Linked DNA regions of Canis lupus familiaris. The protein of the gene in region 4 interacts with the protein of the main gene of each other region in a biochemical or structural test. Links are inferred from orthologs where the notes say so. Each region holds a gene or a part of one and is shown on either strand. Other genes may lie near its edges.

Region 1 (4,144 bases), on a different chromosome or scaffold from region 4:
ATGCTGTTTACACCCTCTAATATAAGCTAATTCCCCTCCTTTGTCCTTCCGCCTAAATACCAGATTTTCACATAACTAGTTCTCTGTCAATGTTTAGGTCTCACATCAAATACCATCCTCTCAAAGGTCTTATCTGACCATGCTAGGTAGGTCTTATGTCATGCTCAATTATAGCACTATGTATTTCATTCACAGCAATGTCACAATTTGTAATTATAATTTAGTTTTTCTGGTTTACTTGCTTAGTAATTTTTTGTTTACTGGTTTATTACATATCTTTCTAAATTAGACAATAAAGTCCATAAAAGTCAGAGATGATACTCATGTTGCTTACCACTCTCCACCCAATGCCTACATCCAGCACCTGATATGTGCATAATAAATATATGTTGGATGAAAAAAAGCTACTAAATAGTTAACCAAGAATATCATTATATAAACAGAAACATACACTTTGCTCCATTTCTAGTGCCACTACCATTACACAAATGAACACCATTTAATTGGTTGAAACAATTTTTAAATGGTCTCCCAGCTTCTCTTGCTTCACTACTTTCTTCCCTTGTGAATCTGCTCTCTACATAGTAAGAAAAGTGATTTACAAAAAGTAAACTTAAAGAAGACAAAGTTACTTAAGAATTTTGCTTCCGAGAAAAAAAAAGTTGATCTATTTTTCCTTATTTTTCCCCTTATGTACAATTTAAAACCCTGGACACTATGTATACAACAAACATCTGAAGACTCTAAAATGTGGAGAGAGGGCATATCAGTAGAAACACAGAGACTCAAGGAATGAAAGGGTGGTGAGTTTCCTAGGCTTTCTTTTTGCCTCAAATATTCCAGATTTGAAACTGAATAACTGGTAACCCAAAAAGACCAATACACACAAACAAAGCTCAAACAAAAGTCATACACCCATGGAAATTTGAGAGGAGAAAATATACTTGGAAATGAGAAGGGCAGCAGAAGCCAAAGAGAAGGATTTCGGTATTGAGTGTGTGTATTTCCTTTCTCTCCTCTTCATTCCAGCTCACTGCATTCCTCCTCCTATAGTATACATTTAGATTCCAGATCTCCCTGCTGCATCTGCATGCCAATACTTACACCATCACCACCTCGCTTGACTCCACCACTACCAGATAGGCCCCAATGTCAGAGGAAATACAGAGGCCAGGAATGAAGAAAAGGAGAAGTGGCAGGAAAATGCAAGGGCAGACAGTAAGATACTGAATTAACCTCTTAGCTTTCAAGAAGTTTTCAAAGTACCAATGAAGAAGGGAAAAGAGAGGGGTACCTAGGTGGCTCAGTGGTTGAGCATCTGCCTTGGGCTCAGGGCATGATCCCAGGGTCCTGGGATGGAGTCCCACATCAGATTCCCCACATTGAGCCTGCTTCTCCCTCTGCCTATGTCTCTGCTTCTCTCTCTGTGTCTCTCATGAGAAAATAAATAAAATCTTTAATTTAAAAAAAAAAAAAAGAAGGGAAAAAAGAGAGGAGAGACCTACAATGGTGTGGCTCTTCATACCCAAGTATACACTGAGTATTTATTAGGAGTTGCAAATTTACTACCACATTCAATTAAATGGAGAAGGTTTTATGAAAGACGTGAAAGAAGAAAGAAAGAAAGAAAGAAAGAAAGAAAGAAAGAAAGAAAGAAAGAAAGAAAGACAGACATGAAAATGTGGGAATTAACTGAAAGAAGAATTTGGTGAATTGCCAAGTTAAAGGAAATTTAGGAAACACTGCAAAGATGTCAATATATCAATTAAACCAAAAAGAAAACTGAGTATTCTCAATTATTAATACATGATTACAACCAATATTATACAAATATATTTAAATATACAATGAAATATAAGCTATATTATAATTACACATCAAGAAAAAACTAATTAGAGGTGCTGCGGAGGAACGGCTGTTGACCCGCGGGCCTCGGCTCCCGGCTCCCGGCTCCCGGCTCCCGGCTCCCGGCTCCCGGCTCGTCAGCGGCTCCCGCGCTCTCCTCTCCCCCCGTGAAGACGCGGCCATGGCGCTCCGGGTCACCAGGAACACAAAAGTGAATGTTGAAAACAAGGCGAAGATCGGTATGGCAGGGGCAAAGCAGGTGCCTCTGGCCTCTGCTGCAGCCTCCAAGCCCGGCCTGAGGCCAAGAACTGCTCTGGGAGACATTGGTAACAAAGTCAGTGAACAACCACAGGCCAAACTGCCTCTGAAAAAGGAAGCAAAAACTGCAGTTCCTGGAAAAGTCATTGCTAAAAAAATACCAAAGCCTCTGGAGAAGGCACCTGAGCCTGTCCCTGTCCCTGTGCCAGAACCAGAGCTGGAACCTGAGCCGGTTAAAGAAGAAAAACTTTCACCCGAGCCTATTTTGGTTGATACTCCCTCTCCAAGCCCGATGGAAACATCTGGATGTGCTCCTGCAGAAGAATATCTGTGTCAGGCTTTCTCTGATGTAATTCTTGCAGTGAATGATGTAGATGCAGAAGATGGAGCTGATCCAAACCTTTGTAGTGAATACGTGAAAGATATTTATGCTTATCTGAGACAACTTGAGGAAGAACAAGCAGTCAAACCAAAATACCTACTGGGTCGTGAAGTCACTGGAAACATGAGAGCCATCCTAATTGACTGGCTAGTACAGGTTCAAAAAAAATTCAGGTTACTGCAGGAGACCATGTACATGACTGTTTCCATTATTGATCGGTTCATGCAGAATAACTGTGTGCCCAAGAAGATGCTGCAGCTGGTTGGTGTCACTGCCATGTTTATTGCAAGCAAATATGAGGAAATGTACCCTCCAGAAATTGGTGACTTTGCCTTTGTGACTGACAATACTTACACTAAACACCAAATCAGACAGATGGAAATGAAGATTCTAAGATCCTTAAATTTTGGTCTGGGCTGCCCTCTACCCCTGCATTTCCTTCGGAGAGTGTCTAAGATTGGAGAGGTTGATGTTGAGCAACATACTTTGGCCAAATACCTGATGGAGCTATCTATGTTGGACTGCGATATGGTACACTTTCCTCCTTCTCAGATTGCAGCAGGAGCTTTTTGCTTAGCGCTGAAAATTCTCGATAATGGTGAATGGACACCAACTCTACAGCATTTTCTGTCCTACACTGAAGAATCCCTTCTAAATGTTATGCAACACCTGGCTAAGAATATAGTCATGGTGAATCGTGGGCTTACAAAGCACATGACTATCAAGAACAAGTATGCCGCCTCTAAGCATGCTAAGATCAGCACTCTGGCACAGCTAAATTCTGCACTAGTTCAAGATTTAGCCAAGGCTGTGGCAAAGGTGTAACTTGAAACATGCATTGGAGTATTGTAATATCTGCAAATAAAATTGGCACCATGTGCCATCTGTATATATTATATGTTACCTTTACTTACTTTTAATAAAGCTTGTGGTCCTTTTTAACTTCTTAAAAAAAAAAGAAAAAACTAATTAGATATATTTTCTAAGTTTTCATTTTTTTAATTTAAAAAAATTTTTTTTAATTAATTAATTTGTTGTTTAAGTAATCTCCATATCCAACATAGGACCTGAACTTACGGCTCCAAGATCACAAGTCGGATGTTCTATCAACTAAGCCAGCCTGGAACCCCTAAGTTTTCATTTTTAAGGTACAAATTAGTGTAACCGAAACTGCGTGTACTAGGAGACAACTAAAACCTTGAAATGAACATTTAAAATATACAGTCATTAGTGTATGCAATATCTTTTGCATATTTTAATCTAAGCTTTTCAAATTCTCAATACCTTTTGATAATATTGGCTAATGTTAAAGTCAAACTATATATCTCAGAAACCATATTCTAGAATTTGCGTACAATATCAGTACCTTTTATTTTGCTACACAATTTAATGCCACTTACAACTTTTCTTTAAAAAAATAATGGTGAAGTGCTAAATTTTGCCACAAGGTGGCTCTTCCCAGGTTTTAAATGAACTGCATCATGTACTCAACTCTACAAAAATCAACATAGAGAACATAATATCTCTTACATTTCTTTTAAAGTGAATATTTGACATAGAGCCAGTATGGGGAAAAGAAGGAAAAAAATCTAAGCATGATACAATGCATATACAACTAAACATTCATTCCATGATGATGTATGTGAGTTTATGTCTGTG
Region 2 (4,488 bases), on a different chromosome or scaffold from region 4:
TTTGGCCCAGGGCGCGATCCTGGAGACCCGGGATCGAATCCCACGTCGGGCTCCCGGTGCATGGAGCCTGCTTCTCCCTCTGCCTATGTCTCTGCCTCTCTCTCTCTCTCTCTCTCTCTGTGTGTGACTATCATAAATAAATAAAGAAAAAAATATTAAAAAAAAAATCCTGTCCTCAGAGTATTTATATAAGTGAAGGTTTTATCCATAAAAGATCTATTCAAACATTAGAAGACAAATACAAGATTACGCTGTGATCTGTGAGGTAGGAAAACCCATCTTGATAGAAAGGAAAAGACATACAGAAAAAATTAAAAACCTTCTATTTGATTACAGGAAAACTCATTTTAAAACTTTTGTCACCAGAAAAGACCCCTGAAACAGGACAAATAACAGGCAGGGAGAATATATTTGCAACACTTAAAACAAAGTATTCATTTAGTTTGTAAGAAATTCCTACAAGTCAATAAGAAAAAGAAATAAACCAAAAATAAGAGCAGTTGATTTTCATAAGTCACACAAATGTTCAATAAGCACACTGAAAAATACCCAATTTCCAAGAAATCAAGGCTGTGGAAAATAAAACAAGATACCATTAAATTGATAAAATTGCTCAACAAAACTATGTGCGGCAAGGATACAGATATTCTCAAACACTGCCGAGGACAGGTTACATTTGTACAGCAATCTTGGGAAGCAGTTTGACAGCATGAATTAAAAACTAAAGTATGCACACCCTACAATTATGCCTTCCCACTTCTAGGTTATTTATTCTAGAGAAACACTGGCGTATATGGATGTCATTTACCCATAGTTTATAATATTGAAAAATCGGAAATTTTGCGCGCAAAGTTAGGTCAACAACAGCATAGCTATACAAATAAAATGCTAAAAAATAAAAAATAAATAAAATGAAATGCTGTACACACACACACACACCACCACCACCACCACTCATCTATGTACCCCAACAAAGCTAAACCTTCAAGACACTGCAGAGGGGCTTTTTGTTTTGTAATCTGAAGACAGTTACGTAAGACATGCAAAAACAAAAAACAACCCACACACAGAACAAGATTTTTGCACGAGGTTGTAAAGGAAAAGGACAAATGCAATGGAAAAGGATTTAAAGAATACACACTGAAACTGACCACAGTTAACCTCCTGTGGAAATAGAGTCAAGTACTTCTTCAGCATGTAGCGAAGATAGATAATATGTTTGTGAATTTATTATTATTTTTTTTTAATGGGGGAAACAGAAGTAGAGCTGAATGGATCAGTTCATAGTATGTTGGTCTGTGGTTGAGAACACTGATTTGGCGGTGTGGATGCGGGAGCCCTGCGCATGGACGACAGGTGCAGATGCGAGGGTCTAGGGGAGGGAAGGGGAGGAGGGATGGGGAGGAGGGAGGGAGGGAGGGAGAGAGGGGGAGAGGGAAAGAGAGAGGGAGGGGGGAGGGAGCGAGGGGAGCGCAAGGGGAAGGGAGAGGGGGAAGGAGGGAGAGAGGGGGAGGAAGAGGGAGCGAGGGGGAGGGATAGAGGGGGAGGAGGAAGAGGGGGAGGAGGGAGGGGGAGATGGGGAGAGGGGGAGGGAGCAGGGGGGAGGCTGAAACGTCGTAACAGAGGCCACGTAAAGTATCTCCAAGTTTACAGCACCGTAAGGAGCGGGACGGTTAAGCAAAGCGGAGATAAGGCGACTCTCTTAAACGCAGGGCCTCGCTAAGCAGCAGGAACGGACGGCGAACGGGAGCCCCTCCCGCCGCAGGAGTCGGCCCCCCCGCCCGACGGGCACCCGGGAGGCGGCGTCCGGGGGTCGCGCAGACGCACGGGGTCACGCAGGCGCGCGGCGTCGGCGCACGCGCAGAACCGCCCGGCCGCGTAGCTCCGTCTGCAGGGACGCCTGGCTAGAGGGTGCGCCGCGAGTACGATGTCGGAGATGAACGAGCTGTCCGAGCTGTATGAAGAGAGCAATGACCTGCAGATGGATGTGATGCCCGGCGAGGGTGACCTTCCGCAGATGGAGGTAGGCGGCGGGAGCCGGGAGCCCTCCCCGAACCCCTCCCGCCACGGGGCCCAGCCGCAGCTGGAGGAGGAAGGCCCGATGGAGGAGGAGGCGGCCCAGCCAATGGCGGAGCCGCAGGGGGAACGAGGCCTTGCTCACCGGCCCAGCCCGGGGGAGCAGCCGGGCCAGCTCGCCGGCCCTGACTTCGAGAGCGAGGACGAGGGTGAGGAGTTTGATGACTGGGAGGACGACTACGATTATCCGGAAGAGGAGCAACTGAGTGGTGCCGGCTACAGGGTATCCGCGGCCCTGGAGGAAGCCAACAAGATGTTCCTGAGAACATCCAGAGCCAGAGAAGCAGCCCTGGATGGCGGGTTTCAAATGCATTACGAGAAGACCCCGTTTGATCAGTTGGCTTTCATCGAAGAGCTTTTTTCACTTATGGTTGTCAATCGCCTGACCGAAGAACTCGGCTGTGATGAGATTATTGACAGAGAGTGATTACACGCTGTTAAAAGAGGAGGAAGCTACTTGAGGAGAGACCCGACATTCCACGGTCTTTTGGGCTCATTCCAGATAGATAGTAACGGTGCCAAGGGAAAAAAGTCGATCTTCAAAGAAAATTTTTGTTGTTGTCGTGCAGAGTAGAATAGGGCAGTGACTGCGCTCTTATGAAAGCATTGTTGGAGAAGAAGAAGAAACGTATCAGGACTGTGGAAATCTGTTTTCAAGAATGTTCCTGAAACACCTGCCGCTTAGACTTTGTTACTGATCCCGGTTATTTTCCTTGCATTTGGGGAAAATACCTCTCCTATATTTCACTATAAGGAATGGTTTTGCAAGAATAAGTTATGACCAAGACAAACCGCCAGTACAAGACCCCCACTGATACCAATTACGTGAGAAAAAGTAGTAACATCCAATTTAGGACACAAGATGTCTGAATCGTTTGGACTGAAAGCCTACTGAGAGAACTCTGGAGGTTCCACTTTGTGGTCTGTCCAAGCCAGTGTTCAAAGGCTAAATTTTTAGTGTAAAAAAAAAAAAAAAAAAAAAAAAATTGGGTATTCTTCACTATCCCAAAAAGATAAACCCAAGAAGAAATATGTATCATGTGTGATCTATCTCAAAATGTGTTTTCAAGAGCATCTGAAATTTTGTTTGTACGTGTATCTTGATCATTTATAAAGCTACTATGATCCATAATTCAAGAAAATTTGTCTTGCCATTTTTAAAACTCAAAAATTAAGACGTCCGTAATTTCAAAGTTAGACATTAAAATGTATGTGAAAGAACAGACTATTTCTGATACTCTTACATACTAGAGAAGTTGTTTTACTTGCTCTCTTTGTTTTTCATTTAACTTACAGGTGAAGGACTTTGGTTGAACTTCATAATATAAGAACTGTTAAAGTGAAAATGTCAAGTAAAAGGAAAGCCCTACATCCAAAAAGAAAGACTGAACAATTATGCCCTCAACCCTTAAAAGGTTTTAAAACCTGCCCAGAAATCCACCTCAGTATCTGAAGTTTCCCTCTGTCTCCTCCTCTAATTACGCTTGTCATTGGTTATGCACCAGCATTCGAGATAATAAAATTTCTTGTTCTGTGTATTTTGTTTGTTTGGCCAAGAATATTGTTCCCATACTTTATCTAAACACTATTATTTTATTGTATTGTGCTATTTTATTTTATCATTGAAACCACTTTATGATTCACATTTAACCACTACATGGGAAAGTGCTCCAGCTTCAAGTAACTGATTTATAAATTAACTTGTGGATATTAAACTTGGCAAATTCCTATGAAAGAATTTGCCAGCCTGAGAAAACCTGTCCTATTAAGGTGAGCATGTTGCTGTGGTTATTAAGGTTCTGAAGTTGTATAAGAATAGTAGTAATTCTGTCAGAAAGCTGTGCCCAGTAAAACAGTATATTAGTAGGTCTGATGATCAATAAAAGTACTGGATGTTCCTGCCCCTTATGGCACTAAAGGACACATCCAGTACAATACCACAGCTCAGCCTCAGTTACAGTCATCTTGCCTCTTATGGGTGGGGGGCGGGGGTCCTTTTACATAAAGTAGAGGACTGGCGAGGGTGACCATAGTTACTGAAACACTAGCTTGGTGAGGAGGAGAATAGATAGATGGGACAATAATAAGCAAGATGTTAGCACTTAACCATCCTAACCCTGCCTCTCCAATGCCTTAATTTCACTGCATTTTCAAACAGCTTGTAGCTGCAGCTAGATGAGTCTGATTATTGCTTGTATGATGTGAATTAACTGAATTTGGGAGTGGGGCAAAGGATGCCAACACACACATAACTAACCAGTAGCATGTACTTCCAAATAGAGGTGTCAGGAAAAAAACTGATCTTCCAACCAGGAATTGTGATTAGGTTCATCTCTGGGACTGAGTAGGGAGCAAGAGGAGAGGAAAAGAAAACTATTCCCTGTTGGGTTTGAAGGCTCATTTTGAGGAGGA
Region 3 (4,392 bases), on a different chromosome or scaffold from region 4:
TTATGACTGGAGTCCCTAATGTAGCTGAGTATATTTTCCCTTTGAGATTAGGTGTTCCAGTGAATGACAGGTAAAGATTGAGGAGGGTTCCCACATCACAGTTATTACAAGTCTACAATGTACATCAGTCTACCTCACAATTGAATCATTGAAGATAATGAGATTTGGGCAAAAATTTTTAAGCTATTTAATTCAAAGCTCACATAGTTCAAAACTCTTTTGTAACTGGATATTGTAGGTTTAGGAGAAAACCCTATTTGCTCACACAAAAAAATTTAAAAATAGCCTGATAGGGCACCTGGGTGGCTCAGTTGGTTAAGCGTCTGCCTTCCACACAGGTCATGATCCCAGGGTTCTGAGATCAAATCCCGTGTTGGAATCCCTGTCCTGTATCTCCCTCTACCCCTCACCCCTTCTCATACTCTCTCTCTCTCTCAAGTAAAAATATAAAATCTTTAAAAATAAATAAAAATAGCCTAATAAAATCTAAAGAATGGCAATCCTTATGTAAAATCAGCTTCCTATACCTCGATAAGCACCATTTATGTGGAATCGTTATTGCACTTATATGGTTTGGCACTACTTAAACTGTGCTGGGTGTAATAGTTATAATGGTAACAAGTCATTTTCAAGTACTCTAGCCTTAAATGAAGGGGAACTAGACTTCCAGTACAAGTTTCAAAATAACACAACTAAAATAATGATTATGGCATATCTCAGGGAGGAAAGCCATGCAGCCGTTAAAAATTATGTTGTATTGGGATCCCTGGGTGGCTCACTGGTTGAGTGTCTGCCTTCAGCTCAGGTCGTGATCCTGGGGTCCTGAGATTGAGTCTTGCATCAGGCTCCCCATGGGGAGCCTGCTTCTCCCTCTGCCTATGTCTCTGCCTCTGTGGGTCTCTCATGAATAAATAAAATCTTAAAAACAAATCATGTATTAAAAAAAAGAATCTTGTGGATGTGGCAAAAATATTCATAATGAATTGTTAAATGTTTTTAAAACATTTAACCACATAAACCACAAAATAATGTGTACAGAATAATCATTTTTATTTACAAATACGTGTTTATATTAAGTCTTTGTTTATGCTATACATTATATATATTTACATATAAATATGATGTATTTATACTTACAAATATAGCAACATCTGTAATTTTTTTTGAGACATTTGTAATTTTTGAAAGACCAGAAAGACAAAAAATATTTAATGATAAAGTTTTCTCTATTCTCTGAGCAATAGGATTTTGAGTGATTTCTGTTCTTCCTCTGGATTCTTTTTTAAGATTGATTATTTATTTATTTATTTATTTATTTATTTATTTATTTATTTTAGAGAGTGAGCATGCAAGCAGGGGGAGGAGCAGAGGGAGAGGGACAAGCAGACTCTGTACTGAGTGTAGAGCCCCACAGGGGGCTCAATCTCATGACCCTGGGATTATGACCTGAGCCAAAATCAAGAGTTGGACTGTTAACCAACTGAGCTACCCACATATCCCCTTCCTCTGGATCCTAAAAACATTTTTATAAGTTTCTACATTAAGCATGTACCATTTTAATAATTAAGAAAGATGTCATATGTCCTATATAAATAAATACATAGATAAAAGCAATTAACACTTTTTTTTTTTTTTACTCTTGGTTCAGGTTTTTGGTAAACTTTAGATGAGTTTTATTAATTAGTTCAAATTTTAAAATTTTTATTCTGCTAATTGGCTGCTTAGACTATTATAAACAATGATAAATGAACCAAACATATATTCTCAGTAGTTTTAAATGGTTGGTGTTGAAAGTATAAGAATAAAGATGACAGGCCAGCATGGCATTACTTTAGGTTAATCATGCTGTTTAAAATCCAGGGCTTACAAGCCATGAGCATAACGTTTCCAACAATGACTGGTTTGCCCCAGCAGAGTACTCTTGTTAATACATATGCTTCCGTTTCACACTGGAAGGATGTGCATTGTGAGGTGTGTGACCTGCAGTGGTTCCCGGGTCCTAAAGGACTGACCCTCATCAGTGCAGTTTTCTTCAAGAGGTTTGCCTTTGAAAACTTAGAAGGTAAACTTTCCCAGGACAGAGTATCCATTGAGGTGCATCTCAAAGGGATTCTAGTACACCTGGGTCATTGCATATCACTGCTCAGTGCTTTGTTTCCAATGCTAAGGAGTCAGCAGGTTCCCTGACCTTATGGCACTGGCCACATTTTCTTATGGTTGTTTGTGATTGTCTCCCCTGGGGAAACAGGACACTTGAATGATTGTCATTCATTGAATGCTTACCATTTCCCAAAACTGCACTACCTCCCTTGGTATATATTACTTCATTTAATCTCATAATATTATAAAAAGTAAGCACAATTTTCTCTTCATTTTATGTAAAACTAAGGCTTCGATTTTAAATAAGCCAGCAGAACTCCCAGCTCTAAAGGAAAAACCAGCACTGTAACCAATAACCAAATATGACTCAGCTGATGAACAAGTGTGTCCTCACAGCCTTTGCCAGCTTTGAAGCCCATGATGCTGCCCTACCACTTTTCTAATCCTTATATGAACAAAATAATCCCATCCTCCCTTGTGCACAGCATTTGCACAGTATTTTGGAGGGTAGGTCAATTTTATTAACCTTAGAATTCAAAGGATCCAATGGTCAGAATCTTAAATTCCTACTTTCAGACACTGTTTCTGAGTTTTAAATCTTCTCTCTAATTTTACTGGTTCCAAAGTTATAAAAAGATGTGACATTATTTTTTGAATGCCACCTCCCGCCCCGCTCCATGCTGGTTAATAATGATAGCAATGAGCTACCATTTATTGAGGACTCACTACTGTGCTAAGTGCTTTCTTAACAGTGATGCCATGAAATCGGTTTTGTTGCTTAGGAATTGAGGTTTCACAAGGTTAAATGGCTTACCTGGCCTTATATACTCATTCCATCATTGATCTAATAAAGGAATGCACTGGGAATTTGAACCCACTTTTTCTGTTGAATCAACACTACTTGGCTAGTGATGTTACTTTGGGCTAATTATATATACCCGTGAATCAGTTTCTTGACCATAAGATGCGATAATGCTATTATTTACCTTAGTGTTGGGTATTGAGAAAAGTACTTGACACGTAGTGACTACTTAGTTGCTATAAAAGTAATAGGAATTACCATTAATAGCATTATCATATACTAGGTTTTAACTGTTGAAATAATATATTAAACCATATGAAAGTATATAAAGTAAAAAGTGTCTCCCTCTTACCACCTACTTCTTCTCCCCAGCCTTTACTACAGATACCAGTTTGGTATTTACCTCCCAGAATATTTCTTATGCCATCCAAAACTATTTTTTTTTAATATTTTATTTATTTGAGAGAGAGAAAGCATGAGCAGAGAGGAGTGGCAGAGGGAGAGGGAGAAGCAGATTCCTCACTGAGCAGGGAACCCAACACGGGGCTTAATCCCAGGACCCTAGGATCGTGACCCGAGCCGAAGGCGGATGCTTAACCGACAGCCATGCAGGCACCCCAGGCATCTGAAACTATTTTTAAATTTTCCTTTTGTGAATAAGATACAGGTCAATGTGAAATTTTTTGCTTGTGACCTTGCAAATGGAAGACTAGAGAGGTTAAGAAGGAAAACAAATTCATTTATTCAGGAAATACTTGTCAAATGCTTTCCAAGGCTAAGGATTCCTCTACATGTTGAATTTCTGTTTTGATAGTTTATTGATTTTCTTTTTTGGTTTTATTTAGGATATGATGTTTCAGCTTCTCCGAGGCCTGGACTTTCTTCATTCTCACCGAGTAGTGCATCGCGATTTAAAACCACAGAACATTTTAGTGACCAGCAGTGGACAAATAAAACTGGCTGACTTCGGCCTTGCCCGCATCTACAGTTTTCAGATGGCTCTTACTTCAGTGGTGAGTGAGAAAGTGCTATTCTTTCATTAAAGTTATGTTTCCTCTTTTAAATAATGAACTGCCCTTATGCCATGCCCCTGAGATTATTACTGCCTGTGGTCAGTTGGGGGAGAGAATGTCTTTACACTTTTTAAAAAAAAAAAAGGTTTTATTTATTTATTCATGAGAGACACAGAAAGAGAGAGAGAGAGAGAGGCAGAGACATAGGCAGAAGGAGAAGCAGGCTCCATGCAGGGAGCCCGACGTGGGACTCGATCCGGTTACTCCAGGATCATGCCCTGGACCAAAGGCTCAACTGCTAAGCCACCCAGGCTTCCTGTCTTTGCGCTTTTTAAACAGGAGGGCTAGGTTTTGCTTGTAACTATAGATACATACAGACTGGGCTTGTCACAGATAGGACCTATTGCAGAAAATAGTCTGTTACATTGTCACCACTAAAAAAGAATCAGTTACAAGTTTCCAGTTGCTTTTTTGCCA
Region 4 (5,183 bases):
ATTCCCCCAGTACATATACAGCACTATTGAGTCATATTACATATACATACATATACTTATGCAAAAAAATGGAATATATCAAACGCTATCAAAGACTGTAAATTCTAGCAAAACTAATTCTAATTCTAAAACAATCAAATTTTGAACACTACATATTGTAAGATATTAAAAATTATAAGGTATGGCTTTGTTTTTAAAAAATTTTTGCATCTGAGTGAAGTACGTATGCATATGATATCTAAGATTTGCTTCAAAGTACTTTGGGGGAAAAATACTTTGGGGGGTTACGTGGGGATATTTTTAACACTATCAGAGTTATTTACCTCTGGGTAACAAAATTATTACTAGCTTTTCTTTTCTTTATATTTTTCTATTTTCCAAGTTATCTATAGTAATTCAAAATCATTTTTTAATTGAGAAAATTGGGGGGCACTTGAGTGGCTCAGTCAGTTGAGCATTTGACTCTTGGTTTTGGCTCAGGTCATATCTCAGGGTCCTCAGATCGAGCCCTACATGGGGCTCTGTGCTCAGCAGAGAATCTCCTTGAGATTCTCTGTCTTCCTTTCCCTCTACCCCTCCCCATGTTCAGGCTCTCTTTCTGTTTATCAAATACATAAAATCTTTTTTAAAAAATAATGAGAAAGTTTTCTTCAAAAAATGTTAAAGAAATCCTTACCAATACTCCATCCACAGATGAAACTTTCTCCCAAGTTAACCAAGCTCTTTCTCTGACATGATCTGGTATCTTTAATTTCTGACATAATGCAGTAAAATCGGGTTCTTCGGTTTCTTCAAACACAAGCCTACCAGATAAAAACAGACATATAATGGGGATATATTTAGAAATCAAACTAAAAGTAAACATTTGCTTCAATGGTTTGCATATAACAAACATCATTATTCTGAAAAAAGGCATTACTAAGTACTTTAAAATCTTATTTATCTTTGAAAAAAAATTACAGAATTTAAATGTTTATTTTTTTCATAGTCCTTCCAACAAATATACAACACAGTGAAAGATGTTTGTTGGCCTGAATCACATACACACCAGAACAGCAAAATAGCTTTGGAAAAGTAAGTAAGTATGATAGCTAACGCTGTATGGGAAAAGCGGGATGACAATAAGAGCAAAAAGAAGAAAGCCCATTTATGATATTGCAGAATCAATTTAGTATCAGCAATTTTGCTAAAATGCAGTCTACGCTTATCAACGTCTCATATAATCTCTCTACCTATAAGCATTTCTCACGTAATAAGAAACTTAACATGAATTCCTGCTATTCTTATTTCAGCCTTTTCTCTTCGATCTTCCTTACCCAAGATAGGTAGTCAATAGTTTCTTGTTGGCTAGCTCCCTTTCATTCTCTTAATGTCTATTTGACACCTAATAATAATATAAGGAATAGCTAATAATTTTTGAGTATTTACTCTGAGCCTGTGTGAATAAAGTATCTTAAATGTATAGTTTCAGTGGAATCCACACATGGGCCTACTAGATAAGTACTCTTATCCTTGTTTTACAGACAAGTACCAAATAAGAAGTTAAAGGACTCACTTGAGGACATGGCCAGTAAGTGGGAAACCCAAGTCTAACTCCATGATCCATGCCCTTGACCACTATGCCAGACTGGTAAACCTCCTTCAGAGCGTAATTAACTTTGATCATGTCAACAAGGAGGGTGCACTCTTGCTCCTAGTGAAGGTTTCCCTTCCAACATTCCCACTTAGGCCAGATATAATGCAACAGAGAGAAGATCTCAGCTTCAAGGTACAGACAGATTCCATCACTGAAAATGCAGGTGGAGCGGGCCCTGAATCCATCCCTAAGCAGGACGCTTGGCTTTGGATTGCCAGGCACTAGTTTCACCCTTGCTAAGCAGCTAGTCTACACAGTTCAACTGCCCGTACTAGCAAAACCTTTCGGGGGGTATGGTTAATCAAGAGTGGAGTGTATCCTGTATGGTTTTACTTACAGGAAAATTTTTTATAGTTCCATCATTTAAAAGTAAATAATGCAATGTTGGGGTGGGGAAGAAAGGCCTTCTTTTCCCAGGTGGGGGCCCTAATTTGAATATTTCTGGTTACCCTACAATAATCCAGAGGACGCTTCCAAAGCTCCGTGGTAAACATGGAACTCTTTATAGAGTAGATTTACTGCTTTTTCCAAATGAAAACGTTCAAGTACTGGACACAACAGAGCTTAATCAGAAATTAAATTTGCTTTCAGAACAGCTTGACTGTTTTTCCCCCCAATTAGCGAGTGTGATTTTTAACTGACCTGTAAGACAACCCATTTCAACATATGTATTTTTAACAGCTTTTCACAGGCCATCCCAGAAGCCCATTCCAATCGTTCACAATCTATCTGAACCCTGTTAGTGTCTAGCAAGTTCAAAGAATAGGGCTTAGTAATGGACTAGAACAGGTGAGGAAGCGGTGAGGAAAAGAAAGCAATCCCATTCTCAAACAAAACAAAACAAAACAAAACAAAAAACAGGTACTCTCAGAGTGGTGGAACCAGGACTGGCAAAAATAATGGCAATCATAGTCTTTCAGTCTTAGGTTCTTAACCATAAAGTACCACGATCGTGAAAAATAGGATGCTGCAACAGAATAAGTCCTCCCTGTCACGTTCTACTGTATTATCACAGTAGTCGCCTAAATTTAGAGACCACTTGGTGGTGCTGGTGCTGGTGGTGGCGCTGGTGGTGGTGCGGGTGGTGCTGGTGCTGGTGCTGGTGGTGCTGGTGCTGGTGCTGGTGGCGGTGCTGGTGCTGGGGGGGGGGGGGGGGGGGAGAAGTGTGCTGTGAGCACGGGCAGCTCACGAACTCTGCAGCCCAAGCGAAACAAAACAAGAGCAGGCGCGAGGATGTGTCCGGGCTGGAAGGCAAAATGGAAGAAGCGCTGCAAAGCGCCGAAGACGGATACCGAGGCTGTGCAGGGGGACCACGGAGAGGGAGCGGAGGCAGGCAGCGGCGCTCCAGCGGGGCGCGTCGCGGGGCTTGCCCGGTGCCGAGGCCTGGAGCCGCGTCGCCGCCGCCGTGTCCGCGGGAGGCCGCCCGTCCCCCGCCGCGTCGGCCGCCGGCTCCGTGTCCGCGGGCGCGGCGGCGGCACCTGTCACCGGGCGCGGGCGCCCGACCCCCCCCCGCCCGACACCTGTCAAGCCGGCGCCCGGCCCCCGCCGACACCGCGCCCGCCCCGGCCCCCGCCCGCGCCCGCGCCCGCCCCCGCCGCTCTGGGCTCACCCGGGCAGAGGCGGGTCGTCGGGGCCGCTGTCCTGCGCCGGGTCCTCCTCGGGCGGCGGCGGCGGCGGCGGCGGCGGCGGGGCTTCGGCGGCGGCGGCGGCGGCCCTCCGGGGGGCTTTGGGCGGCATGGCTGTCCGCGGGCCGGCGGCGGGGCGGGGCGCGGCGCGGCGCGGCGCGGCGGGGCGGGGCGGGGCGGGGCGGGGGGCGCACCTCGGGGCCGCCCCGCTGCGCGCAGACCCGGGGAGCGGCGCCCGGCGGAGCCCACGAGCCCTCCTCCCGCCGCCCACCGAGCGCCGGGCCAGCCGCGCGAAAACGTCACTTCCGCCCGCGGCGTCACGTCCGCGAGCTCCGGGGCCGCCGGCGGCGGGACGGACGGGGCGCTCCGGGGGCGCGGGGCGGCGGCGGGCGCGCGGCGGGCGGGGCCTGCACCCCCGCGGCCCCCGGGACGCGCTCGCCTCTCCCGGCGCGGGCCCGACCCCCGCCGCCCTGGGCCCCGCTCCGGCGGCGGGCGGCGGCGGCGCCGTATCTAGCGAGCGCACCCCGGGGGCACGCCCCGCCGCGCCCCCCCGCCCCGCGACACCCCGCCGCGCGCCGCGCCCTCCCGCCGCCTCCGCCCCGCCCCGCCGCGCCCCCTCCCCTCCCCGCCCCTCCCCGCCCCCTCCGCGCCGCCCCCCCGCGACCCGCGTCCGCGCCCTCCCACCGCCCCGCGACCTCCGGCTCGCCCCCGCCGAGCCTCCCCCGCGTCCCCGCCCCCTCCGCGCTGCGACCCCCTCTCCCCTTCTCCCCGTCTCCCCGTCCCCCCGTCCCCGACCGCCCTCCGCTCCCCGCCCCGCCCCCTCGCCCCTCCCCGCCCCGCCCCCGCTCCCGCTCCCGCCCAATCCGCCCCGCCGGATCCGCCAAAACAAAAACAACCGTCTGCGGAGCCCCCCGGGCCGCGAACGCTGGCGACGCCGGGAGACGGCGGGACGCGCGGGGCGAAGCACGGCCGCCCTCCGGGACCTGCGCGCGCAGACGGGGCCGGGGGCAGAGCCGGTGAGGACCTGAGCGCCCGCCCGCCGCGGCCCCCGGTGCCCCCCGCAGGCGCCGCCCGCCGTCCCGCGTCCGAGCATCGCCCTCTCCGGGTGTCCCTCGGGAGTAAATGAACTTTCATCTTTTTTTAAGTCAGGATTGTATTTAATATTTTATTTATTTATTCATGAGAGACACAGAGAGAGAGAGACGCAGAGACCCAGGCAGAGGGAGAAGCAGGCTCCACGCGGGGACCCGACGCGGGACTCGAACCCGGGACCCCGGGGTCACGCGCTGGTGAGCCACCCCCCACCCCCGCCCGGGCTGCCCCGTAAACGAAGTTTTAAAAACCGCGCGCGCGCGCACAGAACCGGGAGGGGCCGGCAAACTGTAAGGGGCATTTTCAGAGAAAAAGCGGCAGCTGAATGAATGCAAGCCCGCCCGGCCCGCCCGGCCCGGCCCGGCCCACGCGGGACGAGCGCCCACTGTGTGCCCGGCGCGTGCTGGGCCTCAACCAGTGATCGCCAGCCTCAGAACAACCCTTTGAAATCGGTGCTTTGGTCTTCCCCAGATGGGTGAATCCGCCCAGCGTTAGGGAGCGGATGGGGGGTCAGAGGATTTGAAAATAAATAAATAAGCAAACAAACAAACAAATAAATAAATCCTTATACACACGATTCAGGAACAATCGGGTCAAAGTTTTAAATCCCCCCACACGGCTTTCTGTTGCACAACCAAAGAAACATAAGAAATTCTGCAGATTCTTAAAAGAAGCCTTTCCTGATCTTTCCCCAACAGTGAAACCAGTCTTTTCAAAAGTTGCCCCCGTCCTAGTTGTCAGTTCAATGACTTCTTTCTGATCTTCTCTCTACTTGGCCTTTCTTGCAGTTAACGCAGTTAAACCACTTCCTCTTGCGTAAAGCTTCGCTA
Region 5 (3,538 bases), on a different chromosome or scaffold from region 4:
CCATGCCAGGTCCACAGGCATTTTTAAACAAGGTAAGGGTTTTATCAGACTGAAGAAACCCTTTCAGTGATCCTTCTTACATTATAAATACACATGAGTTGTAAACATTTTATGTCTGTGACTACTTTTATGTTAGTCAGTACTTTTCTGGTATTAGTATGTTAATATGAATAGGTCTTTTTTGCTTGAATTGTAGAGGAAAAAGAAGTCAAGGGCTAAGGCAACCTAATATGTCCTTTAGTTACCAAGTGAAATTATTACAAAATATATTGTTTAGAATAGATTCTTGAGTTTATCTCTCTTCTTTATATGATCCTTTAAAAATTCAGAAATCTATTTGCATTTTTTAAAAGATTTTATTTATTTATTTGACAGAGAGATAGAGCACAAACAAAAGGAGAAGCAGGTTCCCTGCTGAACAGGGAGCCTGACATGGGGCTCAATCCCAGGATGCTGGAATTGTGACCTGAGCTGAAGGCTGACACTTAACTGACTGAACCATTTACGTGCCCCTGTATTTGCAAAGTGTTTTCTTTAGGTCCACCTGGGTGGTTCAGTTGGTTAAGTGCCCAGCTCTTGACTTCTGCTCAGATCATGATCTCAGGGCCATAGATAGAGCCCAGCATGGAGTCTGCATAAGATTCTTTCTCTCCCTCTCCCTCCCCCTCTTAAAAAATTTAAAGCTCAGTCTTTTTTATATGACTTAAAGCCAATATAGCTGTGCTTTCTTCAAATGCCTTTGTCCTGGGTGACCCCTGAATTCAGCCACAGTACCTTCAAGTTATCTGCCAGATGCTCATTTTATCTTTAAAAGTGGAATATTTTCTTCTGGAATTTTAAAAAATTTTCTCTCATGTTGTCAAGCTTGACACTGTATTTTCATTTTATTTTTAAAAATTTTACTTATTTTTTAAGAGTCATATACTTTACTGTAAGCACCCCTGCATTTTGATTTTTTTTTAATGTGTCATCAGGATTCTTCTAACAGCCACCACAGTTTAAATCTAAAAGTAATCGTTGAAAAAAAAACATTAATGATGGTAGCTGCTTTCTCTTTCTATCTCTCTGGCCTCCTGGGAATATATTTTGTTTGCATTCATGCTTTTCCATTAAAAAATATTTAGTGCACTTTAAAGAATAATTCAGTAGGCTTTTGAAGAAAATCCTGATCAAAATTAAGTTCATTGATCTCTATTTACTGTGTATTAAAGTGTTGGAATAGCAGAAGAGATTCAAGTTCATGACATTTTTCACACATTTGGTTTGCCTATAGATGAGGTTTTTAGTAGAAAACGGCAGTGGAAGTTTTTCCTCTGATATATATCCAGCGTCCCTCCCGACATCCTTCAGTTATCTCAAAATTTAGTTTTCAGTTCGAGTCTATCTCACAACATCGCCATAACGTGGCAGAGGTAGGCAACCTGAGTAAACTGCTGACACGTCCCTCATTTACAGGGTTTACAATTGTATTACTCAAGTTGTTCAGTTTTGTTTTTTACTCCCCAGTTTAGGTTTTTTTATTACTTTATGAGTAAGAAGATAATAGGAAGTGAGTAGCCCTATGGATTCCCCCAGGAAATTATTTAAAATTAAAATTACCTATGTGGCTCACATTGTATTTCTATTAGACAGCACTGCTTTTGACAATATATTTAAAGAGAATTGCTGACATGCATCATGCTTTGACTAATGAGTCATTTATTCAAAGACTACCATTCTCTGATAATACCAACATCTGTTTGAAGACTCCATGTAGATGCCATTCATTAAAGACCTAGATTATGTGACTTTTTACTATATATTTAATGTTTTGGAGGATCTTTTAAGTCTAATGTTAACATGTGACATAGGATTTACTTGAAGCAATTAGAGTTATGAGTTCAAGCTATTTGAAAGTTGCCACAACTTTCACTAACTATATACTAAAATACAAAAGTTCCATATAAATCCCTACAGAATTGTGTATCTGCCTCTTTTTTTTCAGTAGCAGTTATAGACTAATTTTATTGTAAAGAAGATGAGAGCACTTTATTTGGTAACTTAATCTGTAATTGGGACCATTTTTAATAGTACTTCTCAAAAGCATATAACAGATAAAAAATTGGTTTAGGAAATCCTATCTATGCTATATTTTAGGAATATTAAGACATCTCTATCAGAACTGACCTTTTATGGAAAAGTCCTAGGTCTGCAGTCCAATGTATTAATTTTGAATGCAGTCAATCCATTGGTACCCAGAACTTGACTAAAATGGAATCTGGTCAAAGCAAACCTATTTATGACAGATATATTATGTAACTGTGAATCATAGCTGATACTCTCTGATCTGTCAGTTTCTATCCAAACCAAAGACAACTTGTTCATCAGATACTCTTCTAATGTATGGAATGCCAAATCTGAGCTCAGACTGATATATCACACATTTGTACCATCTAATGGAGAAACCAGGAAGTTATAAATGCAACACATAGTATGTGCTCAGTAGGTCTTTGCTGAATGATTGAAATTTTAGCAACAGTAAAGAACTGAAGTTTAACAATATGCAAGGCAAATGTTTTAAAAATGCAGTTTAATATATCATTTAGTGGCTTAAGATACTTGAAAGATCTAGTCTGATTAATCGCATTGCTATTTTTGTTTGCAGTTTCAGAATGGAGGAGTTTTAAATGAAACCTATCCCGCTGAATTAAGTAATATAAATAACACTCAGACTCCCACACATCTTCAGCCCCTTCATCACCCACCAGAAGCCAGACCTTTCCCTGATTTGACATCCAGTGGATTCCTGTAATTCCAAGCCCCTTTTGCACCTTGGTTTTTGGATGAGTTTGCAGAAGATTACAGAATAATAATACTGTCAGTGTTGGTCATCAGCAAGTTTACATGGAGGCATTGATGTGTGTTGTTTGTGCTATTTTTCCAAACCAAACTTCAGTGTTTTTAAGAGTTAAGAAAATTACCAGAAATACATATAGTCATTAAACTATAAATTGTGCTGCCACAGGGAGTGAGGTTCCATCTCTATTTCACATGATTCTGAGTACCAGAGAATATACAAAACTTATTTAGGGGAACTGTAGGACACTTTTAAATAAAAATTTGTCAGAAAAAAATACTTTTGAATTTTCAGCTTCTAGATTATTATTAATATACCAAATACAAAATTAAACTCCTTTTGTTTAGCTTTGGCTTTTATCTCAGATATTAAAGTAAGTGATTTGGTGCTTTTATAAAAGATAATCTCAGTGCTTTCCTCCTTCATTGTTAATATAAGTGCCTCACAATTTTTTATACCTATAACACTGTAGGATGTATATTTGATAGAAAATATACTTTTTTTAATAACATTCTGTGCACAAATATCATTTGTATTTCTTAAATCAGTCATTTTTATTATTCCAAGCATGTTTTAAACTGCACTACTCACCCACTTTCTTCAGGAAAAGGGCAAATAATGATTGAAAAGATATTTATTATATAATCTAGTCGCTCCTAGACTTTAAATGTTGCTCTGTGCCTTATGTTGAAAATTTTTCGA
Region 6 (4,392 bases), on a different chromosome or scaffold from region 4:
TTTAGATTTTATTTATTTACTCATAGACACAGAGAGAGAGAGGCAGAGACACAGGCAGAGGGAGAAGCAGGCTCCATGCAGGGAGCCTGATGTGGGACTCGATCCCGGGTCTCCAAGATCACGCCCCAGGCTGCAGGCGGTGCCAAACCGCTGCGCCACCAGGGCTGCCCTAATTGATTTGATTTTATAAGATTTTATTTATTTGGGGATCCCTGGGTGGCACAACGGTTTAGCGCCTGCCTTTGGCCCAGGGCGCGATCCTGGAGACCCGGGATCGAGTCCCACATCGGGCTCCCGGTGCATGGAGCCTGCTTCTCCTTCTGCCTGTGTCTCTGCCTCAATCTCTCTCTCTGTGACTATCATAAATAAAAATTAAATTAAAAAAAAAAAGATTTTATTTATTTATTCATGAGAGACACAGAGAGAGAGAGAGGCAGAGACATAGGCAGAGGGAGAAACAGGCTCCATGCAAGGAGCCCGATGTGGGATTCGATCCCGGGACTCAGGGATCACGCCCTGGGCCGAAGGCAGGCACTAAACTGCTGAGCCACCCAGGTATCCCCCTAATTTCTTTTTAAAAGACCTTATTGAAGTCTAATCTCTGTATCCAACGTGAGGCTCAGATTTACAGTCCCAAAATCAAGAGTCACATGCTCTACGTACTGACCCAGCCATGCCCCCCTGAAATTGTTTTATTTTCGTCCACTGATTTTTCCATAGTTTATGAGGCTTTCAGGGTATCTTGGTGTGATCTGAGTTCTAGAATTCCCAAGAACTGATATAACCCTCTAGAGTCCCTATTTTTCTAAAATTTACTTAATCTCAAAGAGGACTCCTTGCTGTTGGTATTACCTTTGGGACAAAGATACTTTGTAGCTAACATTGTTCATCCTCACTGGATGTAATGACAGTGCCAAGATATACTAGGATACTCATATGTGAGATTTAGCAAAAATCAGAGTCTCCTGGAATCTCCAGCACAGACATTTCTTGAGTAAATTGTATACATTAATTGTTTCACAAATGCCACTTTTAGTTTTAACAGTTTGAAATTGTGCCAATTTTGTATATGTCCTGGGTAGAAGTGAAAGATGCATTTGAGGATTAGTATAATGTTGAAAATTGTAAAGCATATTTTGAATTTATGCCTCTGAAATAATTGTGATTAACCACTAAATTACCATTTCTGTCTTACAGACCACTCTTTGAAGGTGATAATGACTTCTGTGTATGTCTGAAGGAATCTTTTCCTAATTTAAAAACAAGAAAGTTAACAAGAGTAGAATGGGGAAAAATCAGGCGACTTATGGGAAAACCACGGAGGTAAAAATATTTTTATTTAAAATAAACCAGTAAGTTAGTTGGTAGTATAATTACCACATTGATTACTTTTCATCTTTGCAAAGACTAGTCCTGAAACATAACTTTTCAGAATCATTATATTTTAAATATATCCTGATAACTAGCTTTTTTTTTTTTTAATTTTTATTTATTTATGATAGTCACAGAGAGAGAGAGAGAGAGAGAGAGGCAGAGACACAGGCAGAGGGAGAAGCAGGCTCCATGCACTGGGAGCCCGATGTGGGATTCGATCCTGGGTCTCCAGGATCGCGCCCTAGGCCAAAGGCAGGCGCCAAACCGCTGCGCCACCCAGGGATCCCATAACTAGCTTTAATATAGGTGCTTTTTATATCGATGCATCTTAAAATTAAATACAGTTTCATTTTTCAAATTATAGGATTCGAACATAATTTTCTTACATTCTCTATGCCCCACTATGTTCCAAAAAATATTTAAGAATACACTAGAAAATATATTTGATCCTTTAACAATATGGAGGTTAGGGATGCCGACCCTGCACAGTCAAATCTTCATATAACTTTTGACTCCCCCCAAAACCTAACTACTAGTAGTTTACTATTGACTGGAAATCTTACTGATAATATAAACAGTCAATAACACATATATATTACTGTGTTCTTACAATAAAATAAGCTGGAGAAAAGAAAATGGTATTAAGAAAATCATAAGAACGGAAGATACATTTATAGTACCATACTATATTAAAAAATAAAATCCATGCATAAGTGGACCTGAGTGGTCACATCCTTGTTTTTTAGGAGTACACTATATTTAATGAAGCTCTCGGGGTATACTAATACATTGTTATCTTTTTAGAAACCATCTATCACCGCAAAAGCCTTCTTACATATTTTACTTTATATAAAAACAAGATAAAGGGGTAGGGTGAGATGGGTGAAGGGGATCAAAAGATAGAACCTTGCAGTTATGAGTCATGGAATGTAATGTATAGTGTGATGACTATAGTTAATAGTATTGTAAAGCTTTTTTTAAAAAAAGATTTTATTTATTTATTAGACTGTGAGAGAGCATGAGTGAAGGGTGGGGAGAGGGAGAGGGAGAAGCAGGCTCCCCACTGAACAGGGAGTCTGATGTGGGGCTCGATCCCAGGACCCCGAGATCATGACCTGAGCCAAAGGCAGATGCTTAACTGAGCCACCCAAGTGGCTGTAAAGCATATTTTAAAGTTGCTGACGGTAGATCTTAAAAGTTCTTATCACAAGAAAAAAAAATTGTAACTATATATGGTGACAGATGTTAACTAGACTTAGTGTGGTGATCATTTCACAATATATACAAATATTGAATCATTCTCTTGTACACCTGAAGGTTACATAGTGTCTTATATATCTATTATACCTCAGTAAAACAAAAACGCATTCTATCTAAAAACAAAAACAGAAAAACCCCAGAAAGAAAAATCAAGTGAATCTCTCCAATATGTTATTTTCTGAAAATTACTTTTCATGTGAAATGACTTTTCCCTTTGTAGTGTTATCTTGCTTTCTAACATAGCCACCCAGACATCCCTGGCTTCTTTGGTTTCTTAAAAGGGTTAAACATACACTGACCATACGACCCCGCCATTCCACTCTTAGGTATTTAGTTAAGAGAAATGAAAGCCTATATTTATACAAAAACCTATACACAGGGACACCTGGGTGGCTCAGCAGCTAAGTGTCTGTCTGTCTTCGGCTCAGGCATGATCCTGGAGTCCCAGAATCGAGTCCCACATCAGGTTCCCTGCATGGAGTCTGCTTTTCCCTCTGCCTATGTGTCTGCCTCTCTCTCTCTCTCTCTCTCTCTCTCTCCCTCTCTCTCTGTCTCTAGTGAACAAATAAATAAAATCTTAAAAAAAAACCAAACCTATACACATAAATGTTCATATCAACTTTGTTGTAATAGCGCCAAACTGAAAATAATACAAATGTCCACCAGTAGGTGAATGGGTAAACGGTGGCCATTCATAGAAATGGATACTGTTCTCCAATAAAAAGAATGAACCATTGGTACATGTAACAACACAGATTAATCTTGGAATAATTCTGCTGAGTGAAAGAAGCCTGACAAAAGAGTTCATTCTACATGATTTCATTTGTATAAGATTTTATTTTTATTTATTTATTTATTTTGTATAAGATTTTAAAAGGTAGAAACTATAATGACTGAGAGCACTTCAGCAATTGCTTGAGAAGTAGGGGTACAGAAATGGGAGGGATGCGAAGGAGGGATAATAAAATGCCACAAGGAAACTTTGTGGAGTGATTGATGTCTTCAAATGTTCATTATCTTGTCTGTGATGATTGTTTTATGGATATATATTTTGTGACACGAAAGCTATATTTAAGTTACTTTGATTCATCCCAGTATTTGAAAATAGAAGTAAAACAGTCCCTAAAGATAAGAGTAAATTCGGTATTTATGCTTCAAGGCAGGAAGTATGATTAAACATTTACACAGTGGTAAGCCTCATCTTTAGTTCTATATTGGTGTGCTCATGGGGTCACAGGGAAAATATCATGTTCTTCTGAATAGAATATTGTAATTGAACATTGTCCCAGAGGGAGTCCTATGATCCAGATGCAGTGTTGTCAGAGGATGGTGGACAAATCCTCCTGCTTTGTAGGAAAGGATGATGTAGACTTGCTTATAAATCTTTAAGTCTTGCAAAGTCCTGTTTTTAAAAAGATATAATTTACTTTAAAGATAATTATTATTTCTAAGAACTCATTTTTAAATACAATTACTTGAAAGAAAGAGAGGAAAAGAAGTAACAGTGAGATGGATGGTTTGATTTCAAGTTTTGGGGTTTTTTTTGTTTTTTTTTTTTTTTTTAAGATTTATTCACTTTAGAGAGATAGAGAGTGAGTGAGCACAGAGTGGGTAAAGGGAGTGGGAGAGAAAAACTTTTGCAGACTCTCCCTGAGCTCGGAGCCCAACCTGGGGCTCAGTCTCATGACTCTGGGATCATGACCTGAGCTGAACCCAGGAGTCAGATCTCAGCCGACTGTGCCACCCATGGACCCCCTG
Region 7 (4,392 bases), on a different chromosome or scaffold from region 4:
CTAAGAAACCAGTACATAATCCGACATCACAAAGATTTACATCTATGTTTTCTTCTAAGAGTTATCTTGGCATCCTTAATACAAGTATTTTAACAAAAGTACCACACAAACACAAAGTGATCTTGTTAACTTATTGTAGATCAATCTTTGTAGCATTCTTGCCACCTACAGCTCCATACCTTCCTTCATGGATCCCATACTGTAAGCAAAATATGGTGGGTATGACTCCAGCCCAGAGCTGAGAGTAGACTTCTGGAGCTTTTGAAAGCTCTTGTAACTTGGCCACAGGTTCTCTTAACCTTCTTCCGTAGTATATCCTCCTGTCTAGAACAGGCCTATTGCATCACAGACCTTCTTTTATTTCTACTGGTTACAATTTCTGTTAAGCTTTTTTAAATATTGAAAGTAGGTAATTGGTTCAGTCAAGATTCTTTAGCTGCAAGCAACCAAAACCAACTCCGGCTGATGCAAACAGAAAAGGAATTTATCAGAAGGGTGTTGGGTAGGGTAGCTCACAGAATTGCTTTGCTGGCTAGAAAATGGCCCAGAACAGAGAGGAGAAGCGGGTGGGTGTTACTCTCCACTTTGTACCCCCCCACACACTTGGCAAACATGAGAACAGATTTCCCTCTTAATGTTCACAATTTAAAGTCCTGGTCAGGGGCACCTGGGTGGCTCAGTTGGTTAAGCAACTGCCTTCAGCTTAGGTCATGATCCCGGGGTCCTAGGATCAAGCCCTGCATCAGGCTCTCTGCTTCTCTCTCTCTCTGTCTGCCTGCTATTCTCCTTGCTGTATGCAGTATATCTCTCTCAATCTCTCAATCTCTGTCAAATTAATTAATTTAAAAAAATCCTGGTCAGACTGATGTAGCCACTATCATGTCCTAGCCACGAGGGAGGCTGAGAAGTGAGGGTCTCCCTTAGTTCTCCAAAAGGAAGCTTTCCTCCACTTCCCTCAAAGTGGGTGTGGTAGAGTCTCTGAAACGGAATGGATTATGCTCAGTAACTTTATTACTAGTGCCTTTTGAAGACACCACGCTGGGATTTGCTAGTTATAATAGCTGACGTTTTCTAAGGGCTCTGCATGTGCCAGGCTTCTTGCTCATCTTCCCAGGATCCTTCTGAAATGAGCAGGAAAGGATGTCAAGAGCTCTATATATGTTCCTTTTTCTTCAGTGCTTGTAAATTGTCTGAGTGTATATCAACAAAGACTAAGGGTGTATTCTGTAAAACTATTTTTTTTGTTACTGAGTACATAGCTATTACTGGGAAATAGCTTTGTCACAGAAAGTCTTTCAGATAAGAAAGTGATTTTCAAAGAGATGAAACCCATACCAGTCAGTGGAATTGTTGGGGCAAATATGTCTTAGTGGAATTACCTTTTAAACCGTTTGGATGATAATCATTGTCCCATAGCTTGTAATATTTTTTCATAAAAACTTTCCTGTTAACTTTGTAATGGTTTTCATTTGAAGAATCAGATCCCAGAGCCTGCTGATCTGTGATCTTTGAGGCCTGGGAAAGGCCCATGGCCTTTCCTTGGATTTTGCTGAAGTATTGAGGTCTGTGCTGTGGGGATCTGTCAGCAGGCCTTAAGCTTTGGCCTCTCAAAGTAGCCTAGTTGGGGTTTCTGGATTTTTCACATGTTCGACTTCCTAATGTTCCACTACAAATAGTGGTTTCTGCTGTGAGGCGAGAGAATTATCCAAAGATTTTTCTTTTTTTAAGATCTTATGTAATTTATTCATGAGAGACAGAGAGTGACAGAGACATAGGCAGAGGAAGAAGCAGCATCCCTGTGCGGAACCTGATGCCAGATTCCATCCGGGACCACAACCCTAGCCAAAGGCAGATTCTCAACCACTGAGCCGCCCCCGCCTTTAAAGATTTTATTCATCCATTTTACAGAGCCTTCATGAGCACAAGCAGCGGGAGGGGAGGGAGAGGGAGAAGCAGACACCTTAATTTCCAGTCTCCCAACCCTGTGTGAATTTTTAGGACAGGAGTATCTGTTCAGTAAATACTGAATATTGGACTCTTAGTGTTGCATTGTGTAATCGAGATGAATTTTAAAAGATTTTATTTATGTATTCATGAGAGTCAGAGAAAGAGAGGCAGAGACACAGGCAGAAGGAGAAGCAGGCTCCATGCTGGGAGCCTGATATGGGACTCGATCCCAGGACTCCAGGATCACGCCCTGGGCCAAAGGCAGGTGCAAAACCGCTGAGCCACCCAGGGATCCCCTCTAGATGAATTTTAGATACTTGATTGAAAGTATGTCAGTAGAAACTCTACCTCATTGTCTATTGCCTGCCATCGTGCCTGGTTTCTCTGTCCCCGTTATCATATACTTTCCTTTTCCTTGCCCTCTGCATCTCAGGTGATGAAAGCTATAAGCATACTCTTGTGTTTCTGAAGCTTCACTTTGTTTATATTTCTTCTCCCTTGTGTTTATTTCTGCCTTTATATATATAGTTAGATAATTTTTAAGTTTAAGTGATCTCTACACCCAGCATGGGGCTCGAACTCACACCTCGAGATCAAGATTCACTCTTCAGACTGAGCCAGCCAGGCACCCCTAGTTATATAATTTTTTAATGAAGATTGTTTGTTTTTTCCTTCTTTAGACTGTCTGTCTGTGGGATATAAATGCAGGACCAAAGGAAGGCAAGATTGTGGATGCTAAAGCCATCTTTACTGGCCACTCGGCTGTTGTAGAGGATGTGGCCTGGCATCTGCTGCACGAGTCATTGTTTGGATCTGTTGCTGATGATCAGAAGCTTATGATGTAAGGTGGAAGGTTCAGTGGGGTCTTGATATATGGGTGTCCTGAATGATCAACAGTGATTGTGGTGGCCTATGGTTTGATTTTTTTTTTAAGTTATATACTGGCCTTAAAAGCTTTAGCTTGACATACAAGAAACAACAAGTGTAACAGCTTTTTTTTTTTTTTTTTTTTTTTTGCATAGAAGATACTGTGCTCTATGAATGAACATATTTTTTTACTTGAAAAAAATCTACAAATGTAAAGAAACATTCTTAGTGGTATGTGTCAAAATTAGGGTCACAGTGACTTTGAAGATGAGGGCTAAAAATGTTTGCATCAGGGCATGGCTACAGGCTGCATTCAGCCACCTAAAATGTGTTTTATTTCATAAAGAAACTAGTATCTGAGGCAAATGTGGCTAAATAGTAAAATATGGTAAGGTTGGGTTGTAGGTATCAAATTGTTACATTATTCTCCAGTAGTTGTGTCTGCTTGAAATATTTGGTAATAAGACAGGAATCTGAAACTGGAAATGATAGCCCTAATTTATTTTCTGTGGGTTTAGAATATGTCACTTAGTGGCTGGAAGTCCAGATTGGCAGCTTTGTATGTGATTAGGGTGTCCATGAAGGGGTGAGCATGGCAGAGTAAGGGTGGTGTGGAGTGGTGCAGACCTGGAAACGGGCATGAGAAACTGAGGAGGGTTGGGTGGCTTCTGCTTGTGCTGTGTGCCTTGTGTCTTTGTGTTCTAGATGGGACACCAGGTCCAACACCACCTCCAAGCCAAGCCACCTGGTGGATGCACACACTGCCGAGGTCAACTGCCTGTCCTTCAACCCTTACAGCGAGTTCATTCTCGCAACTGGCTCTGCGGATAAGGTTTTTTAAGTTTTTGTATATTTGATGTTTATGAATCCAGTTGTCTTGTGCTATAATCAGATATTCTAAAATTCTTCGTACAGTGCAGAAATGAATTCCTTTTCATTTATTTTTCTTCAGACTGTAGCTTTATGGGATCTGCGTAATTTAAAACTAAAACTGCATACCTTTGAATCTCATAAAGATGAAATTTTCCAGGTATGTGACAGTTTTCTCATGTCTGTCAGGCTTTTAGTAACTCTTTGATGGTGGGAAATTTAAAATCTTACTGGCTTTATAGCAGGCATGATATTTGTTTTAAATTCCTCTTCTGTATATATATGTTAACTAGTGGGAAGTAACTTGGAGCTATTTGAGATTATTACATTAGAAGTAGAAAAATCTTGCAAAACAGGATCATTTTAAAAAGTGAAATTCAAGGATTCTTTAGTTAAGGTGTCCAGTGTGGTGCATTCTCTAGTGAATAAAAATACCTTGTATGTGGTTTCAAATGGAGATTTGCTTAGGTTTAAGATACACCTCATTGAAAAAGTGAAAAGCTTCTGGATTAGTTATGGGCTTATTAATAAGCGTATGGAGGTTCCTAGCTGAGCTCCCCTGTATGGGGGGGTGTGATCTTCCCGGAGGGTGGGCTGGGGAGATGGGCCATTTAAGAGCACTTGAAAGGACAGGACAAGGAGGGTGAGGGCTGTATCCAAGAAGAGGATACAGAAGAGGAGATGGGAAAATCTCAAGGATTAGAATGA

What was found.
Region 1: of the proteins of RB1 (region 4) and G2/mitotic-specific cyclin-B1-like, one has a biochemical effect on the other in vitro, tested with the Homo sapiens proteins (2 studies listed by BioGRID). The link is inferred for Canis lupus familiaris from reciprocal best matches to the Homo sapiens genes RB1 and CCNB1.
Region 2: the proteins of RB1 (region 4) and EID1 form a complex in vitro, tested with the Homo sapiens proteins (5 studies listed by BioGRID). The link is inferred for Canis lupus familiaris from reciprocal best matches to the Homo sapiens genes RB1 and EID1.
Region 3: of the proteins of RB1 (region 4) and CDK6, one has a biochemical effect on the other in vitro, tested with the Homo sapiens proteins (9 studies listed by BioGRID and IntAct). The link is inferred for Canis lupus familiaris from reciprocal best matches to the Homo sapiens genes RB1 and CDK6.
Region 5: the proteins of RB1 (region 4) and AHR form a complex in vitro, tested with the Homo sapiens proteins (2 studies listed by BioGRID). The link is inferred for Canis lupus familiaris from reciprocal best matches to the Homo sapiens genes RB1 and AHR.
Region 6: the proteins of RB1 (region 4) and LIN9 form a complex in vitro, tested with the Homo sapiens proteins (2 studies listed by BioGRID). The link is inferred for Canis lupus familiaris from reciprocal best matches to the Homo sapiens genes RB1 and LIN9.
Region 7: the proteins of RB1 (region 4) and histone-binding protein RBBP7 form a complex in vitro, tested with the Homo sapiens proteins (3 studies listed by BioGRID). The link is inferred for Canis lupus familiaris from reciprocal best matches to the Homo sapiens genes RB1 and RBBP7.

Annotation. Positions count from the first base shown.
Region 1 is NC_049250.1:29,512,490-29,516,633, reverse strand, and holds G2/mitotic-specific cyclin-B1-like, read left to right. Parts: upstream 1-1,931; 5' UTR 1,932-2,026; coding exon 2,027-3,310; 3' UTR 3,311-3,332; downstream 3,333-4,144. UniProt on the Homo sapiens protein: Essential for the control of the cell cycle at the G2/M (mitosis) transition.
Region 2 is NC_049251.1:15,391,872-15,396,359, forward strand, and holds EID1 (EP300-interacting inhibitor of differentiation 1), read left to right. Parts: upstream 1-1,720; 5' UTR 1,721-1,927; coding exon 1,928-2,503; 3' UTR 2,504-3,614; downstream 3,615-4,488. UniProt on the Homo sapiens protein: Interacts with RB1 and EP300 and acts as a repressor of MYOD1 transactivation. Inhibits EP300 and CBP histone acetyltransferase activity.
Region 3 is NC_049235.1:18,262,184-18,266,575, reverse strand, and holds part of CDK6 (cyclin-dependent kinase 6), read left to right. Parts: intron 1-3,747; coding exon 3,748-3,915; intron 3,916-4,392. UniProt on the Homo sapiens protein: Serine/threonine-protein kinase involved in the control of the cell cycle and differentiation; promotes G1/S transition. Phosphorylates pRB/RB1 and NPM1.
Region 4 is NC_049243.1:3,170,755-3,175,937, forward strand, and holds the start of RB1 (retinoblastoma-associated protein), read right to left. Parts: upstream 3,473-5,183; 5' UTR 3,374-3,472; coding exon 3,246-3,373; intron 2,418-3,245; exon of another isoform or gene 1,524-2,417; intron 1,075-1,523; exon of another isoform or gene 989-1,074; intron 804-988; coding exon 677-803; intron 1-676. UniProt on the Homo sapiens protein: Tumor suppressor that is a key regulator of the G1/S transition of the cell cycle. The hypophosphorylated form binds transcription regulators of the E2F family, preventing transcription of E2F-responsive genes.
Region 5 is NC_049235.1:31,837,041-31,840,578, forward strand, and holds part of AHR (aryl hydrocarbon receptor), read left to right. Parts: coding exon 1-32; intron 33-2,644; coding exon 2,645-2,791; 3' UTR 2,792-3,538. UniProt on the Homo sapiens protein: Ligand-activated transcription factor that enables cells to adapt to changing conditions by sensing compounds from the environment, diet, microbiome and cellular metabolism, and which plays important roles in development, immunity and cancer.
Region 6 is NC_049228.1:38,546,000-38,550,391, forward strand, and holds part of LIN9 (protein lin-9 homolog), read left to right. Parts: intron 1-1,197; coding exon 1,198-1,323; intron 1,324-4,392. UniProt on the Homo sapiens protein: Acts as a tumor suppressor. Inhibits DNA synthesis. Its ability to inhibit oncogenic transformation is mediated through its association with RB1. Plays a role in the expression of genes required for the G1/S transition.
Region 7 is NC_049260.1:13,073,858-13,078,249, reverse strand, and holds part of histone-binding protein RBBP7, read left to right. Parts: intron 1-2,627; coding exon 2,628-2,788; intron 2,789-3,519; coding exon 3,520-3,646; intron 3,647-3,766; coding exon 3,767-3,844; intron 3,845-4,392. UniProt on the Homo sapiens protein: Core histone-binding subunit that may target chromatin remodeling factors, histone acetyltransferases and histone deacetylases to their histone substrates in a manner that is regulated by nucleosomal DNA.